Linked DNA regions of Astyanax mexicanus. The protein of the gene in region 2 purifies or fractionates together with the protein of the main gene of each other region. This does not show direct contact. Links are inferred from orthologs where the notes say so. Each region holds a gene or a part of one and is shown on either strand. Other genes may lie near its edges.

Region 1 (7,297 bases), on a different chromosome or scaffold from region 2:
AGCTTTCAGATCTCAAATAATGCAAATAAAACAAGTTCATATTCATAAAGTTTTAAGAGTTCAGAAATAATCAATATTTGGTGGAATAACCCTGATGGTTTTCAATCACAGTTTTTTTTTCATGCATCTTGGCATCATGTTCTCCTCCACCAGTCTTACACACTGCTTTTGGATAACTTTATGCTGCTTTACTCCTGGTGCAAAAATTCAAGCAGTTCAGTTTGGTGGTTTGATGGTTTGTGATCATCCATCTTCCTCTTGATTATATTCCAGAGGTTTATAGTTAGTTAAAATCAAAGAAACTCATCATTTTTAAGTGATCTCCTTTTTCAGAGCTTTATATATATATATTATTACACTCAGAGCAACCTATTTTAAGTGTTTATTTTTTATTGTTGATTATTGATTATGGCTTACAGCCAATGAAAACCCAAAAATCAGTGTTTTTAAGAAAATTAGCATTAGCATTAGCAATTAGCATCATTAACTGTGTTTTTTAACATGTGTTTAGCTGCTGTTCCGATGGACGTGTGTGAAATCTGTGCGTTTGCTGCGTGCACCGGCTGCTAGACCTCCATCAATCATCCATCAGACAAAGGAGGAAGATTTTCCATTCCATCAGTTCACTGTTCAATAAACACAAACCCCTACACACACACACACACACACACACTTTCCTCGCACTTACAAAAATGGCTTTATAGTCCACGTGGCAGCAGAACTTTTTGAACTGTTACTTTTTTGTTTGAAATCATGATTAATCTGGAATTTAGATTTAGAAATGTAGATTTACTGTAATTGTTTGTGTGTTACAGCTTAACATTTCACTTATTTAATGAAAGTAGGGTTGTCTTATTTTTCTACTGCTTATATATTTCTTGTGTTTTCATATTCTTATACGTGCAATAAAAGAGATTATAAAAAATACCAACTTTCTGTTTCTGTTTTTTCAGCTTTGAGTTTTACCTGTTAAACACTTTAAACCTTTTTAATTACATACTTTTACAATTTTTAAAACACGTTCACATTTTTACACTTTATACGTTTTCCAGCCTGTATGCAGGTGTGTATATGTCTTTCAGTTTTAACTCCATAAAGGCATGCATTTTTGTTTATTTTATACCTGATATTACAGGTCTATATATTGAGGATTTCTATTCGAGCTGAAGTAAACTGAAGTAAATCTGCAACTGTTAAAATAAAATTAATAAACTCATAAAATGGCCATTTTCTGTCCACAAAGCTTTTATTTCATTACAGTTGTAACTTATTTTACTGCAGATAAAAAGGGTTTGTATCATTCACACCTACAGCCTGTATACAGGTAAATACCTGTTATAAATAAAATATACTATAATAAATAAAACTATACCATAAACTATATTTATTAAAATTATGCATTGTTGTGTGACTCCAAATCCCATCTATGCTTTAAATATATTTTTTTCCATAATAAATCCTTTCTATTTAAATTATAAAATACACATTTTAGTTGTGTCCCCGTGTTGTGGTTTCGCTCAGTCCTGTTACATTACTGTAACACATTACCCTGATCATCTGAAACATCAGGAAGTCACATCTACAACAGGAAGTGACATCATCAGCTGGTTCTGGTTCTGAAGATCATGGGAAGAACAAAATTCCTAAAGTTTCCTCATTAGTTTTTTTTTCTGTATATTTGATCTTATTGTAACGATGACTGAGGAGCTCAATCTCAACACTCAGTCCTGTTACCCAAATTCATTCTTACATCTTATTTGTTTATTTTTAAAACACAAATTAAGGGAAAATCACCAGAATGTGCTCAGTGTCCTCATGCTATTAGCCATTTAGCTATTTTTCATGTTTATGCTAATTCTATGCTTAAAACTTGGGCTTTTTAAATGCTTTTTATAACCATCTTCAGATTAGAAACCTAAAGCTGCCTAAGATTGACCAGTACATATTTGTTTTAAATAGTTAAATATGTGTGTTATTAGATTAAGAGTTATACAGTTATACAAAGTTTCTTAGATGAATTATGAAAAAAGCAGTAATTCTCATAATAATTCAAATTTTCAGCTTATTATTAAAAGTAAAATCTATCTGCTATATCTGCTATATACACAAGGACTTCAAACTTCCAAAAACAATATTTTTCCTCCTTAAAGCCACAGAGGATTAAGAGAGGGATGACTTCTCCAAAAAAATATTTTCATGCAAATGTTACACGTCTTGGAGCACACTTTAGTTGTATATGTACAATTCTGTGCTGTTATTTGTTAGAGAACATTATAGATTATAGATTTTTAAACCTAAAGTAATACACCAGCGTTCTCACTGATAAACACATAAACATGATTCATCCAATAAACTCATAGACCTTTATAAAGAGAAGCAACAAAAACGAGCAGCTAATCTGAGACTGGGATCTGAAAGATAAGATTTTATTGCGTGTGAATTTACACACTATTCCATCACTAACTGTTTAAACACGCTTGTCGCTTCTCAGGGTGATTTAAAGGTGGAAATTTAGGGTGTAAATCTTGGATAACATAATACAATATTGTTTAAAAGCTTTGCAAAAGTAAGCCCCTCCCCCTCAGCAGTAACTCATCGTTGGATATTTGATTTTTTTTTAGATTTAGATACATAAAAATAAAGAAACCAGTTAATAGCCTCCTTATTTAAACAGCTCTATAACCAAACAACTGGATCTTATGAGGAAATATTTCTATCCCGATGGGAAAGTACACTCTAAAAAACAGAGGTACGATATGAGTACTTTTTTGTACTCGAAGGTACACTCTTTATAATTGTACCCTCAAAGGTACAATATTGGTCTTTACGGGGTCAGATTTGTTCCCTCTGAAGTACAAAGTAATTTCTAACAGCAATAAGTACAGATTTGTACCATTTAACCAGCCAAAGGGTACATTCAGTATTCTGCATCACTGTACTAATGAACAATATATATTTAAATTGCACATTTTTTATTTGAAAGCCAGACAATTTTGTATCATCAAGTTTTTGAGCCATATTTAGTTGATGATAATGTTTATAATCTTTATTATCTTTACTGCCACAAAAACCATGGGTACAAAAAAGGACTTTCACTGAAAGGTACTTTTTTGTACCTGAATATAAGGTACAGCCCCAGCGACAAGCTTTGTACTCTTTTAAGTACAAATCTGTACTTATATTTCTTAGAGTGTACTGTTCAGGGGTGTGTTTCCCAAAAACGAATAAACTTAGTGTTTTACAAACAACTTTATAAACATCTTAAACGCCTGTTACTTACAGTAAATCTATACAATGCTTATGATGTATTTAATCATTTAATTATAATAATAATTGCAATTAAATAAAAAGCCCATTATATGCCCAATGAATGGGTGTTTCAGCCTGAATGCAGAATCTGTTAGTGAAAGCCTATAATGTATAAGTGTATAAATGGTGGCAGAAAGTGTTTATGTGGCTGATGTGTGAGCAGCAGGTTTATAGGGCTTCTTGTTTGGCCAAAAAGCAGAAGTAATCAGATAAAATCAGACAATTTTATTATCAGAATAAAAACCCTGAGATCTAAACTTTCTACTGATAACTCTCCCTAAGTGCACAACACAAACCACACGGCCGTGAGCGCCACGACGCGGAGAATTCAGCACAACTATCATCACTGTCCTCGAGTCGCCATGTCACAGCACAGACAGAGACACCACCGGATTATATATATTTTTATTTTTTAATATTATTTTACATTCTGTTTATGTAAGAATTGCACTGGAAGATAGACAATTATTATTATTGTTATTTTGGTATTGTTTTTCCTAAGAATAATTCTATTTGAAAAAAAGAAAAAAAGAAAGAAAGAACTAGAAAAATGTCTAGTGAGGAAAGAATTTTTATTGTATTTTTGTAAACTTTTCTACCTCAAAAAAATATATATATATATTCCTAATGTTAAGGCAAACTTCATTTTATTACTGTTCCATTGTTTCTAAACAAAAATGTTGATTACAATAATAAAGTATTTTGTTGCACGTATAATATTTGGCAACATTTTATCCTAGGTATTTTGGATCCTTTGGATCTATGAAGATTAAATATTAAAAAGTGTCAGTATCGGTATCGATATCGGCAATACTGATCCGGTATCGCTCACCTCTAGTGTTCAGTATGTTATTGGAACACTGCAGGATTGAACACTAGAAGTGCGCTCCCTCCGTAGGGCCCTAGGTAGGCTGCATTGCATAGATTTGATCACGTGACGCGTGACACGGCGTGGTATAGGCGGAGCTCCGGTCGGTGGAGAGGAGAAGATGGCGGCGCGTGGAGGTTTTCAGTCCGGGGCGCCTGGAGCTGGAGGAGCCGGCGGAGGAGCAGGTGGAGGCGGCGGCGGTGGAGCTGGAGGAGGGGGTGGAGGAATGGGACCTGGACCACCAGTACCGGGCGCTGGGCCGGGCATGGGCCCAGGCACGCCGACAGGGAGGATGGGACCCGCAGGCGCGCAGAATCACCTGTACCGCTCCCCGATGGCGGGGCCCGGTTACCCGGTAAGAGAGAGAACAAAGAGCGGGGGGTGGCCAGCGGGTTACACTGCTTATCCGGTGCGCTGGCCTCGCTCTGATATCCTTAAATCCAGTTAACGGGTTTTGTTTAAGTGCAGTATTTTGAGTATTTGCTAAAACAGAGATCTGCTTTGTAAAGGCTCTTATGGATTCTTAATTCAGCAGCGCCTGTTTAGAATTTTCCGTTCCACCTTAAAAAACGTTATAGTTGTGACCTGGCGCTTGCAGAGTCGCCTGCTTTAAACTATTGCTCTTTTTAAGGTGGACTGGAGAAAGGCAACATAACGAAGCTAAGTTAGCCAATTTAGCTAAGCTAGGTTGAAATGATCAAAATTATGTTAAATTGTAAAATAGTGGTCAGTAGTGTGAGAAGAGATTAAAACGAACAAAGCAAACTTTAGTGTGATTAATAAGTGAATTACAGGCTAAAACGAGAAAAAGACGAACTAATAAATGAATTAAAAACTTGGCTAAGCTAACTCTAGCTAGCTTGTTAGCTTAGTTTAGCCTAGCCAAGTTGCCGGAGTTTATTAGATGGTCTAGGTCTAAGTTACTGTTTTTGTCTGTTTTATGGACCGAATATTAGTTAGTTAGTTCGCTTTTTATTTGAAGGGAAATGTAATAAAAGTAAGGAATCAATAATACCATTAGTTTTACGCATTTTTATGATGTAGCTATAGAAAGTAAAAATCCATCCCAGGGTTTTGTAACTTACCATCTGCCTAGGCGGATCTGCTGCAACTTGGCACAAAACCCTGTGATGGATTTTTACTTTCTGGACCTGGATCCCAGCTTTGTTTATGAATGGCCTGATGTGGTGTTGGGTAGGTTAGAAGCTATTTTACTTCTAATTTAGACACTTTTATACAATTTACAGTGTAAATAGACGATATTAGAGGGTAGTCCTTATATGTTAAGCTTAAGAGAGCACCTAAAAATGAGAGAACCTCTGGAATATAATCAAGAGGAAGATGGATGATCACAAACCATCGAACCACCAAACTGAACTGCTTAAATTTTTGCACCAGGAGTAAAGCAGCATAAAGTTATCCAAAAGCAGTGTGTAAGACTGGTGGAGGCAAACTTGATTCCAAGATGAACCATGGTTTTTCCAAATATTGATTTCTGAACTCTTAAAACTTTATGAATATGAACTTGTTTTCTTTGCATTATTTGAGGTCTGAAAGCTCTGCATCTTTTTTGTAATATCAGCCATTTCTTAGTTTTTATAGAATAAAACAACAATGTTAATTTTACTCAAACATAAACCTATATAGCAAAATTGGACAGGGACGTGTGCAGGTGTGATGGATCACAGTATAAACCAATAGGGAGTCGGAATGGTATATGTTTATACTTCTCTACATCCAATCACAATCAGATTCACTCTATCTGGATGGAGAGATTTATCTGGATAGGGGTTTTATTGAAGGATGAGAAGCCGGAATGAAAACCAGCTGAAATGAAACAGGAGTAACGAGGATATATTTAAAATGTAAGGAGGAGAAAGTTCAGATAACTGCGTGAAAGTGTCAAAATAATTACTCCAGTAAAGTAGAGAACCTAGATTTTATATTTTTAATTTTGTCTAGACGTCAGCTCATTGTGATAAATGTCATGCAACTTAATGTGTAATGTATACAATTGCGTACACAATCTGAATGGATCTGCATAGATATAAAAAGCCTGGTCTCCCGTGCAAAAAACATCTAAAAACATACAGAACAGTCAGTACTTATTATTAAAACATAATTAAGTTTTAGCTCAATAACTAACCATATATCAAAAGAGCTTTAATGCACATTTTTTTTTGTTGTTGTTGCTGCAATCCCTTAATGCTGTTCTGTAAATTGAATTAAAGTCCATATAGAGAAACTCACAGCTCTTTGTTTAGCTAACTTTAATAGGAAATTCTTGAATGTAATAATTGGCCACTGATAAATAAATAAAGTGATTAAAGTGATGCAGAGGGCCGGGGATTATCTGTTCTTGGGCTGGTTTGAATTTGGATCCATGGCTGGACTTTTGAGGATCATTAATTTTACCCCATTGCAGAAGCAAATTCAGTGTTGGGTTATAAGCAATATTTTTATCTATTAAGATGCATCAGTAGAGTGTACTTTTACCCTGATACCTCGTACATATTTTTCCCATGTGTGGCTGAGAGTAAACCATTTAAATAAAAATAAAATAAGAATTAATAAACTGTATTTGCTGTTAAATGGTTTGGATGGTGGTGTGAAAGCATACTAGTCATTATTTCCTCTGCCAGGCCTTTTTTCCCTCCTCATCTCAGGGACGTGATTCCTTCTAAAGAAACGTTTCTCCTCTCGTCTGCACGGCCTTGACAGCTTCCACACACAGTGCGCCGCGTGCGTCACAGGAATTCAGCGCATCTCCACATTCAGCGCTCAGGTAGAGCAGCGATTGTTCTTCTGGAGCTCCAAGGTTGTGGGGATGGGATGCTGTGAAAGACGGCGAGTTTGTGGCTTTCTGATAAGTAATGCGGCTTTCTGTACAAAGAGTGACGAGTTTTCAGCAGCCTCACAAAGAGCTGTGGATGCTTTCAGCCGCCGCTGTTGTTCTGCACAAAACGAGCAGAGCATCCCAGGAGCTGCTCAGAGCGTGATGCACCGGCCGGGACGCATGTCTGTGTGAGATGTGACGGCTGGAGTTTAAGCGTGTGTGTTGGGCTGTTATTGAGGGATCTGTGTGTGTTGGGGTGTGTGTGTATATGTGTGTATATATAG
Region 2 (7,693 bases):
CCACACTTCACTCCTCGCGCCCGTTTTGTCCACAAGTCGCGGACGAGAGACATCTGTTATTTTAGACGTCGCCATTCTACACTCGCCGCTGCTCTCTCTCGCTGCTGCTCTGCTGGCTTGCGCGTGCGTGTGTCGCTCAAGCGAGTCAAATGAATCGATTCACACGTGAATCGATTCATTTGTTCAGAACACTAAGTTTACCTGAATCCTGCCACACCGACTGCTGCGGTGTGAATCAGTTTTCTTATGAATTGAATCAAATCGCGCCTACTATTTTGACTCATTTGAAGCTAGTGACTGGGCTATATAGTATCGAAAGCATCGAACGCTAAAGAACCGAATCGTTTGTGATGACGTAGTATCGAAAAAGAATCGAACCTTCGGTACACCGTGCAACTCTAGTACAAAATAAACATTGCAGTCCTACCTACAACAACTACTTACGTTTTTTCTAAACTAAAAAACATATCAGTGCATTAACCTTTTATGGTGTAAGATGTACAAAAAACAAACTTACTGTGAACATTCTGCAGTTTTGCCTTTGCTCTGGAAGTCCATGATGCACTGAATCAACTGATTGTTTTCATCGAGAAGCTGGAAAGAAACAAAGTTTAGAATTAATTCTACTCATTTTAAACTGACCTCAGAAAAAGCTCTGAACAAATTTTAAACAAAAAATGTTACCCACAGTCTTCATTCCTGTACATGTTTTTTTAATTCTAACCATGTGATTTAACCCTAAACCTCATGTGTTCAAGAGAGAAAAGACAGCTTATATGTGCGAGAAGCAAACCTCCTGTCCTGGGCAGGCAAACCCAACCAGTGGGAGTGGACTCAATTATGCTCAAAACACTATGGGTCAGATTCTCAAACAGGGATTATGCAAAGGCATGGGTAGAAGGGGTTGAACAGCCCATCTAATCAGTAATTAAGGTGCAACCATTACTGATATACATGTTTAACTGTGTATACAATTTGTATAATCTTCAAATAAATGCATTGCCAGTAGAATATGATGCTCTGAAAAACTCTTTGGATGAAATGGAAAGCTCTGGAGATGTTCAGGTGTAGAAAGCCATCCAGAATTGGGTTGTGGGGCGGTAAAGCTTGTCCACAAAACAATAAAAGCAAGTTTGTGTTTCATTCACCATTCTGTTTTTAAACCTTTTTACAGAGTATTTAATAAGACAATAAAGTCTACCCCAGAACTGTCTAAACCCTGGGTATATGTGAAACCAATGAAAACATTCTTCAGAGATTTTTTTTTTATAATTCACAATGTTTTAATGTTTAATGTTCATATGTGTGCCTTGCTCTTTTTTAGTGGCTATAACATTAAAACTGTTCTAGGCATATACACTTCTATCTTATACTTTATTTCAATAGATCCATTATTGTATATAACCTGTGCATTTAAAATGGTTTAAGGCAGTGATCTGTCTATGTAAGGATGAGTTAGCTAAGTAAATGTGAAACCCCAAAAATGTAAAAAACAAATTTCTCAGAAGAAGCCTTTCATTTTTTTGTTTGTACACAGTTGATTGAGAGTTAAAATGTAACATTTGCTTGCGTGTGTAGTCCTTCTGCAAGTTACAAATATATATCTGGACAATACATTGATATTTTTTTCATAGTGATAATTTTTTAAACACATTAACAATAAACATATCAAGGATACCATCAATACTTAAACACTAACCCTACTGCACATTATATTACAGAGAGTGAAAATTCCTCTTTAAATAAGAATCACTGCACTATGCATAACAGACCATTTGAAAAGCAGAATCTGCTACTTCTGATGCATTTTGTCTGCCTGTCAAAACAAGGCAAATACTCATTTACAGAATGTAAGTGTACTGGGTTAGTGCTTGTGCTTTTGCTTTTACAGGTCTGTTTTAACCATGTGAACGATTTACATGCTTTAATATTTTTTTTACGTTTTATATAATAGGTTTACATGACTTCTAGGGCAAAACTTTAAATTGTTGTTGTACCATATATGTTACAATTAGGATTTTAAACTGTTTTTATTACAGAATTATGTCTGGATAAACAGTTGGTCTGGGATATTATTTATTAGCGTTATGTACATATAACGTTAAATGTTTATTTTCTTTTATATATATATATATATTATATGTTGATGTATATTTCCTGACACTGCTGCTCTCTCCTCTGCGCTGCTGTAAAATTGCAAATTTACCCTCTGTGGGTTTAATATAATGTTAAATTACACACAGAGAAAGAAAGGACAACAAATCAGATTAACGTTAATATTAGCTGTAGATTAGCTAGTTAGCTAACCTAACCCAGCTAGGTTAACCTACATGAGCTGTTTCTGCTACAGCGTGAATTCACAGCACATTTATTGAAACCTTACTGGAATTTTCCACTTAATTTATCACGCTGAGTGACTGTAAAAAGTCTATTAACGCTAAAACACGACCAGACTTTCTCTTAAAATAAGGCGTTTATATGTTTTTTGGGCTAACTAGCTAACAAAGGCGCTAGCTAGCTAGCCTGCTAACAGTACAGCTAACCTAGCTTGCTAGCTAGCTTACATAGCTAGCTAAGCAATAGCTATAGGTTAGCTAACTAGCTAGCGCATTTAAATATACTAAAATGAGAATATGTGGTCGTTTATTGGATTGTTTAACAGAAGGAAATTTGAAAACAAAATTTTAATAAAGATTACATTGATTCAAAAAACAATATTTAGACATACGCTAGCTATAGCTAAGCTAATTAGCTTAGCAACCTTCCTGGCTAACAACCCTCCATAGAAACCAATTGCCACCGTTTCGTTTGTTACCCCTTTTCTGTATTAAAAACAATTACCTTCTGTATTCCTGCGGGTGTAATATCGCCTTTAGCGCGCTGTCTGTGAGGCGCAAACGCCACCGACATGGTTATAGCTCTTAAAAAAGAGAAAATCCGACGATAAAACTAAAAATCTCTCAGCTCGCCTTCAAAAATCTCCCACATACACAGCTATCTACAGCAGCGCAGCCTGGTGGACTCTTCTATTCTCCCCTTTTTAGGGGGGTCACTCCACTACGGCTTGGTGTTATCGCTTAAATACGGACATTAACATAGTTAAATGTTTGAAATCCACGCATAATTTACCTTTAAAATGACGTTAAATTTTAAAATGTGTGTATTTAATAACAATTAAGTTAGAACTACTCAAATATTTATACAAGGTCACGCAGTCCCCACCTCTTCCACAATGGTTTGGTCCAAAACTCAGTCCTAATAGACACACAAGCAGCAGCCACAGGCAGCTCCAGCTATTTATAAGGATTTACATTACCATTAAAACATAAAACTCACACTAAAAACACTGCTAATATTAGTTTTATATTAATTAAATTATGTGTAACGTTATAGTAAGTTTTATTTTAGTATTTAAAGGACGCTGTAAGGGCTGTAGTTCTGGTTATTGTGGTCACGCCACCTCTGGATTAGATGTGCTCAGGGGCTGAACTGTGTGTTTTTTGAAGATGGCGGGAGTTTAATCATGTGGTTCATATTTTTGAATTGTGTTTCCAAAGCTATACTTACAGGACCAGTCAAAAGTCTGGACACACCTCTTCTCCACCTCTTCTTTAATGTGTTTTCTTTTTCTGCTTTTTTTTACAATGTATATTTAACCCCTTAACAGGTCAGCATTTTTGTCAATTTTCAATTTTGAAGATTTCTATTGAAGCATTACATAAAAAGCTTTCATGTTTAATAATAAATGTTACTACAAATTTTGATTGTAATTGTAAAATGAAGTTAGCACTTCCCTTAACGTCAATATAAATAGTAATAATAATAATAATAATAATAATAATAATAATAATAATAATAATAATAAAAGTTAACATTCCTTAAAAATCAATATTTTCCTAAATACAAATCAAACAGTTCATGTCCTCCAAACCTTTAGTTTCCAGCACAAGTGTTTTTTGTAGGAAATGTCAAAGCCCTCACATTTTCAGAATGCAAATAAGTTATTTTACTGCAGAAAAAGAACGGGGTGAATATTAAAAAAAAACTATATTAAAGCTATTCGGGAACACATGCAGAATTGTTTTGAGAAAATAACAATGTTAAAAAAATGTGTTAAAGAAACCGGATTATGTTTTCTATTTTAAATTCTTCTAAGAAGCACATTTATCTTTGAGGAGACATACTAAAAGTAGACATACTAATAGATGAAATACAATTCAAATAATTACACTGTAGTTTAGTATGAAAAAAAATGGAAAATCGAAATAAAGGAAGAGCGGGGTTAGAGAAATTGCCATTTCTTAACCCTTTCAGACCTGAATTATTTCCAGTAATACAAACAAGTAAAACTATATCTTTTTTCTTATTCTATATATCTTTTATATAATTGTTTGTTTTACAAATCATTTCTAAGTGGTAAAATAAACCATAAAATAAACCTCATTAAGTGGGATGCAGCTGTGCTTTACTTCAGTGTGTAGATATTTTTATTGTTTTCCAGTGCAGTGGGCGGGGCTGAACTCATGTTTGACTGGCTGATAAATGTATATTCTGAAGGACAGCAGGTCTCAATCTGAGCTATGTGAAAGGATATGAAGTAAAGAAGAAAACACAAGATGCCCATTGGAATGTACTCAGGGTCTCAAAGGGTTAAAGAGTAACACACTATTAAAACAATTTTTATTTAAATCTATCTCACTCTGCCTCCCTCTGCCTCACTCTATATCTCTCTGCCTCATGCTGCCGCCCTCTATATCACTCTACCTCACTCTATATTGCTCTACCTACATCTGACTCATTTTACCTCACTCTACTTTACTCCACCTTGCTCTGGTTTAATATTTTCATGCCTCCTCCCCATATTTCACTGTACCTCACTCTATTTAACTCTTTTTTGCTCTACCTCACTCTGCCTCAGTCCACCTCAATCACCCTCACTCTGCCTTTATGTCACTCCACCTTGCTCTGCTTTACTCTACCTCACTCTGCCACCAGTCTAATAAGTCAAGTCACGTGAGACAGTCTGCAGCACAAAGTGCTCCTTCTGTTACTGGACGTGAGAAATGCAATTTACTTTTGCTTTTACTCACAATATTACTGAAGCTTTTTTTATTGTCTAATGTACTCATATAGTAACAATGATAACATGATTCATTTTACAGGTTTAGATCTATACATTGAAAGGAGTCTATGGAGTCTAAGGAGTCTTCACCTCAAAGAACACTTTTAGACCTAACTTTTTAAAAGTGTAGAGCTGCATTTCTGTTTATTTGCTGGTAGGATGAAGGGAGAGAGGATGCACGACTACAGACAGAATGCTCAGTCCAGTTTTGCTGACAGGTGGTTTAATAGGCTGCCTGTTTTTCTGCGTGCTGCTGAATTTCACTGGTCAGTCTGGGCTTTGAAGTATTTGTGTAAGAGCTCTTTGTAAATGAAGCCTTGAGTTAGTTGAAGTCGTATTTGGGTGAGAATTGTTTAAGGTGGTTGGACAGAGCCCTGCTGAGAGGAATGATGTAGCGGGTTGTAACAGTGTAACCCCTGCGATCGATCAGTCAAAACTTCAAAGAATCTGAAGATGTTAATAGCTTCATCAGTATTCTTTTGACCAGCGGCTAGTTGCATTCCATATCATCCTCAAGAACAAAGTGCAACAATTTGGAAAGATGGAAAACAGTGAAACAGTTGGATTTCACCATCCAAGGCGTCATGTGGAGCGGCTGACGTGAAATGCTTTAAAATTTTCCTTAAAAAGTTCTTGAAAACAGTTCAGTAAAATATTTATATCATGCATAATTATATTGCGAATATTTATACCATACACAATTTGTGCAAATGATTGTGAACACCCCTTCTAATACTTGCAGTGAATACTGCCAAAAGAATAGAAATCTCTGGAGCAGACAAACAACATTTTAGGCTTGTTTTTTACATCTTGGCATTTTTAGGATTTTCAGGATAGATTTGTCAGTAATGTTTGAGATTATTTCCAAAATACGATGCTCATGTGGGGCCTGTATGGAAAGCCCAACTGGATCCCAAAAAATGTAGTCCATGGGGCCCATGTTGGGCACACATCAGGATGTCAATGATGGGTCCAAGAGAGTTTAAATATGGGCTATATCTGGGTTATACACTGCATTTGGGGCCTAGATGAGACCCATGTAAAATTAAGGTGGGCTCTAACAGTGGGACCCAATTGGAATGCTCAACTGGGACCCAGTAACAACAGATCCTATACCTACCTGGAACCCACCCAGCCCACGCTTCACCCATGTGAGGCCAAATGATCCACTCTTTAAGTATAGAGTTTAGATAGTAGGATTTAAAATACTTCTGTAGTTAAAGTTAAAGTATCAACTCAAGCTCCTTACTCTGTAAGTAAAAATGTAAAAGTACTGCTTTCAAAACTACTTAAAGTATAAACGTTAAAGTAATGTAAGGTGTAAAAATGCCATTGAAAATTAATGTATATTAGTAGAATGTAAATATATTAAAGAAATTTAGTTAGACTGGAGTTTGTCTGGAGTTCTCTAGTTCCAGACATCCCAAGTTGCAAAAGTTGATTTCAGGGAGGTTACCCCCCCCCCCCCCCCATCCCCCCCCCCAAAAAAAAACAAACAAACAAACAAGCAAAAAAAACTTGCGCACACACACCAAAGGATAACGAAACTTTACTTTTATATTAATTAATTTTACGTTTTTTAAATTAAATTTAGAGTATTCAGAGGTGAAATGAAATGAGTTTTATCTTTTTTTCTTTTTGGAAGGCCCTGCCTCTGCTTTCCTTTTTTTCTTTTTTTTGAAAAAAAGCCTTTATTTGACAAAAAATGACAGTTACAATATCACAAAAAAATTGCACAACATCAAAAATATTTCATATCATATTACAATAATTATTAATATTGCCTCCGCCATGATCTGCTTTCTCACACTCACTGAACAAATCCCGTCCGGGAGGGGGGAAAACACTGCCTGCCCACACTAAAAACTGATTGGCTGTCTCACAGACTCTTTGCAGAGAACAGGCCAATGAGAATCCTCTCTGTTTTCTCTCTCTCCTTCCCACACGCGATTGGAGAAAAAAGTCTGTCGCCTGTGTGTGCGTTTGTGTGCAGTGCGCTCTTGGGGCACTCGTTCTGAATTCCGGGAGATTATATGTGACTTGCGGGCATCAGGGGGCCACTACTGAAATGCGGGAGACTCCCGCAGCTTCAGGGAGACTCTGCGTCTCTGCACGGATCATCTTCATACTAGGCTACATACGTCTGCTATGTTCTTGCTGGATTGTGTGTGTGTGTGTGTGGGGGGGAGGGGGGGGGGACGTGACGTATGCAGCTGTGATGGTATAAACCAATAGGGAGTCGGAATGGTATATGTTTATACTTCTCTACATCCAATCACAATCAGATTCTCTATACTCTATCTGGATGGAGAGATTTATCTGGATTGCGGTTTTATTGAACAATGAGAAGCCGGAATGAAAACAAGCTGAAATTAAAAAGAAGTAACAAGGCTATTTTTAAATAAGTGTGTGAAAAAGTATGAAGTAGAAGCAAAAAGTCGACTGTAAAATAATAATTACTCCATTAAAGTATAGATAGCCAACATTTCTACTTACTTAAGTACAAAGTATTTGTACATAGTTACTTGATAACTCTGTCTGAGGCCCATATGAGTAATCACTGAGCAGTTT

Evidence for each region. The genes of interacting proteins can lie anywhere in the genome.
Region 1: the proteins of ss18 (region 2) and smarcd1 purify together in Homo sapiens (affinity purification with mass spectrometry; 5 studies listed by BioGRID and IntAct, counting the BioPlex papers as one, with this or other methods). This does not show direct contact. The link is inferred for Astyanax mexicanus from reciprocal best matches to the Homo sapiens genes SS18 and SMARCD1.

What each region holds. Positions count from the first base shown.
Region 1 is NC_064431.1:560,132-567,428, forward strand, and holds the start of smarcd1 (SWI/SNF-related matrix-associated actin-dependent regulator of chromatin subfamily D member 1), read left to right. Parts: upstream 1-4,283; 5' UTR 4,284-4,298; coding exon 4,299-4,532; intron 4,533-7,297. Other genes in the region: si:ch211-220m17.5 (guanylin family protein), read left to right, coding at 512-570. UniProt on the Homo sapiens protein: Involved in transcriptional activation and repression of select genes by chromatin remodeling (alteration of DNA-nucleosome topology).
Region 2 is NC_064415.1:10,642,708-10,650,400, reverse strand, and holds the start of ss18 (protein SSXT), read right to left. Parts: upstream 3,021-7,693; 5' UTR 2,911-3,020; coding exon 2,842-2,910; intron 595-2,841; coding exon 518-594; intron 1-517. UniProt on the Homo sapiens protein: Appears to function synergistically with RBM14 as a transcriptional coactivator. Isoform 1 and isoform 2 function in nuclear receptor coactivation. Isoform 1 and isoform 2 function in general transcriptional coactivation.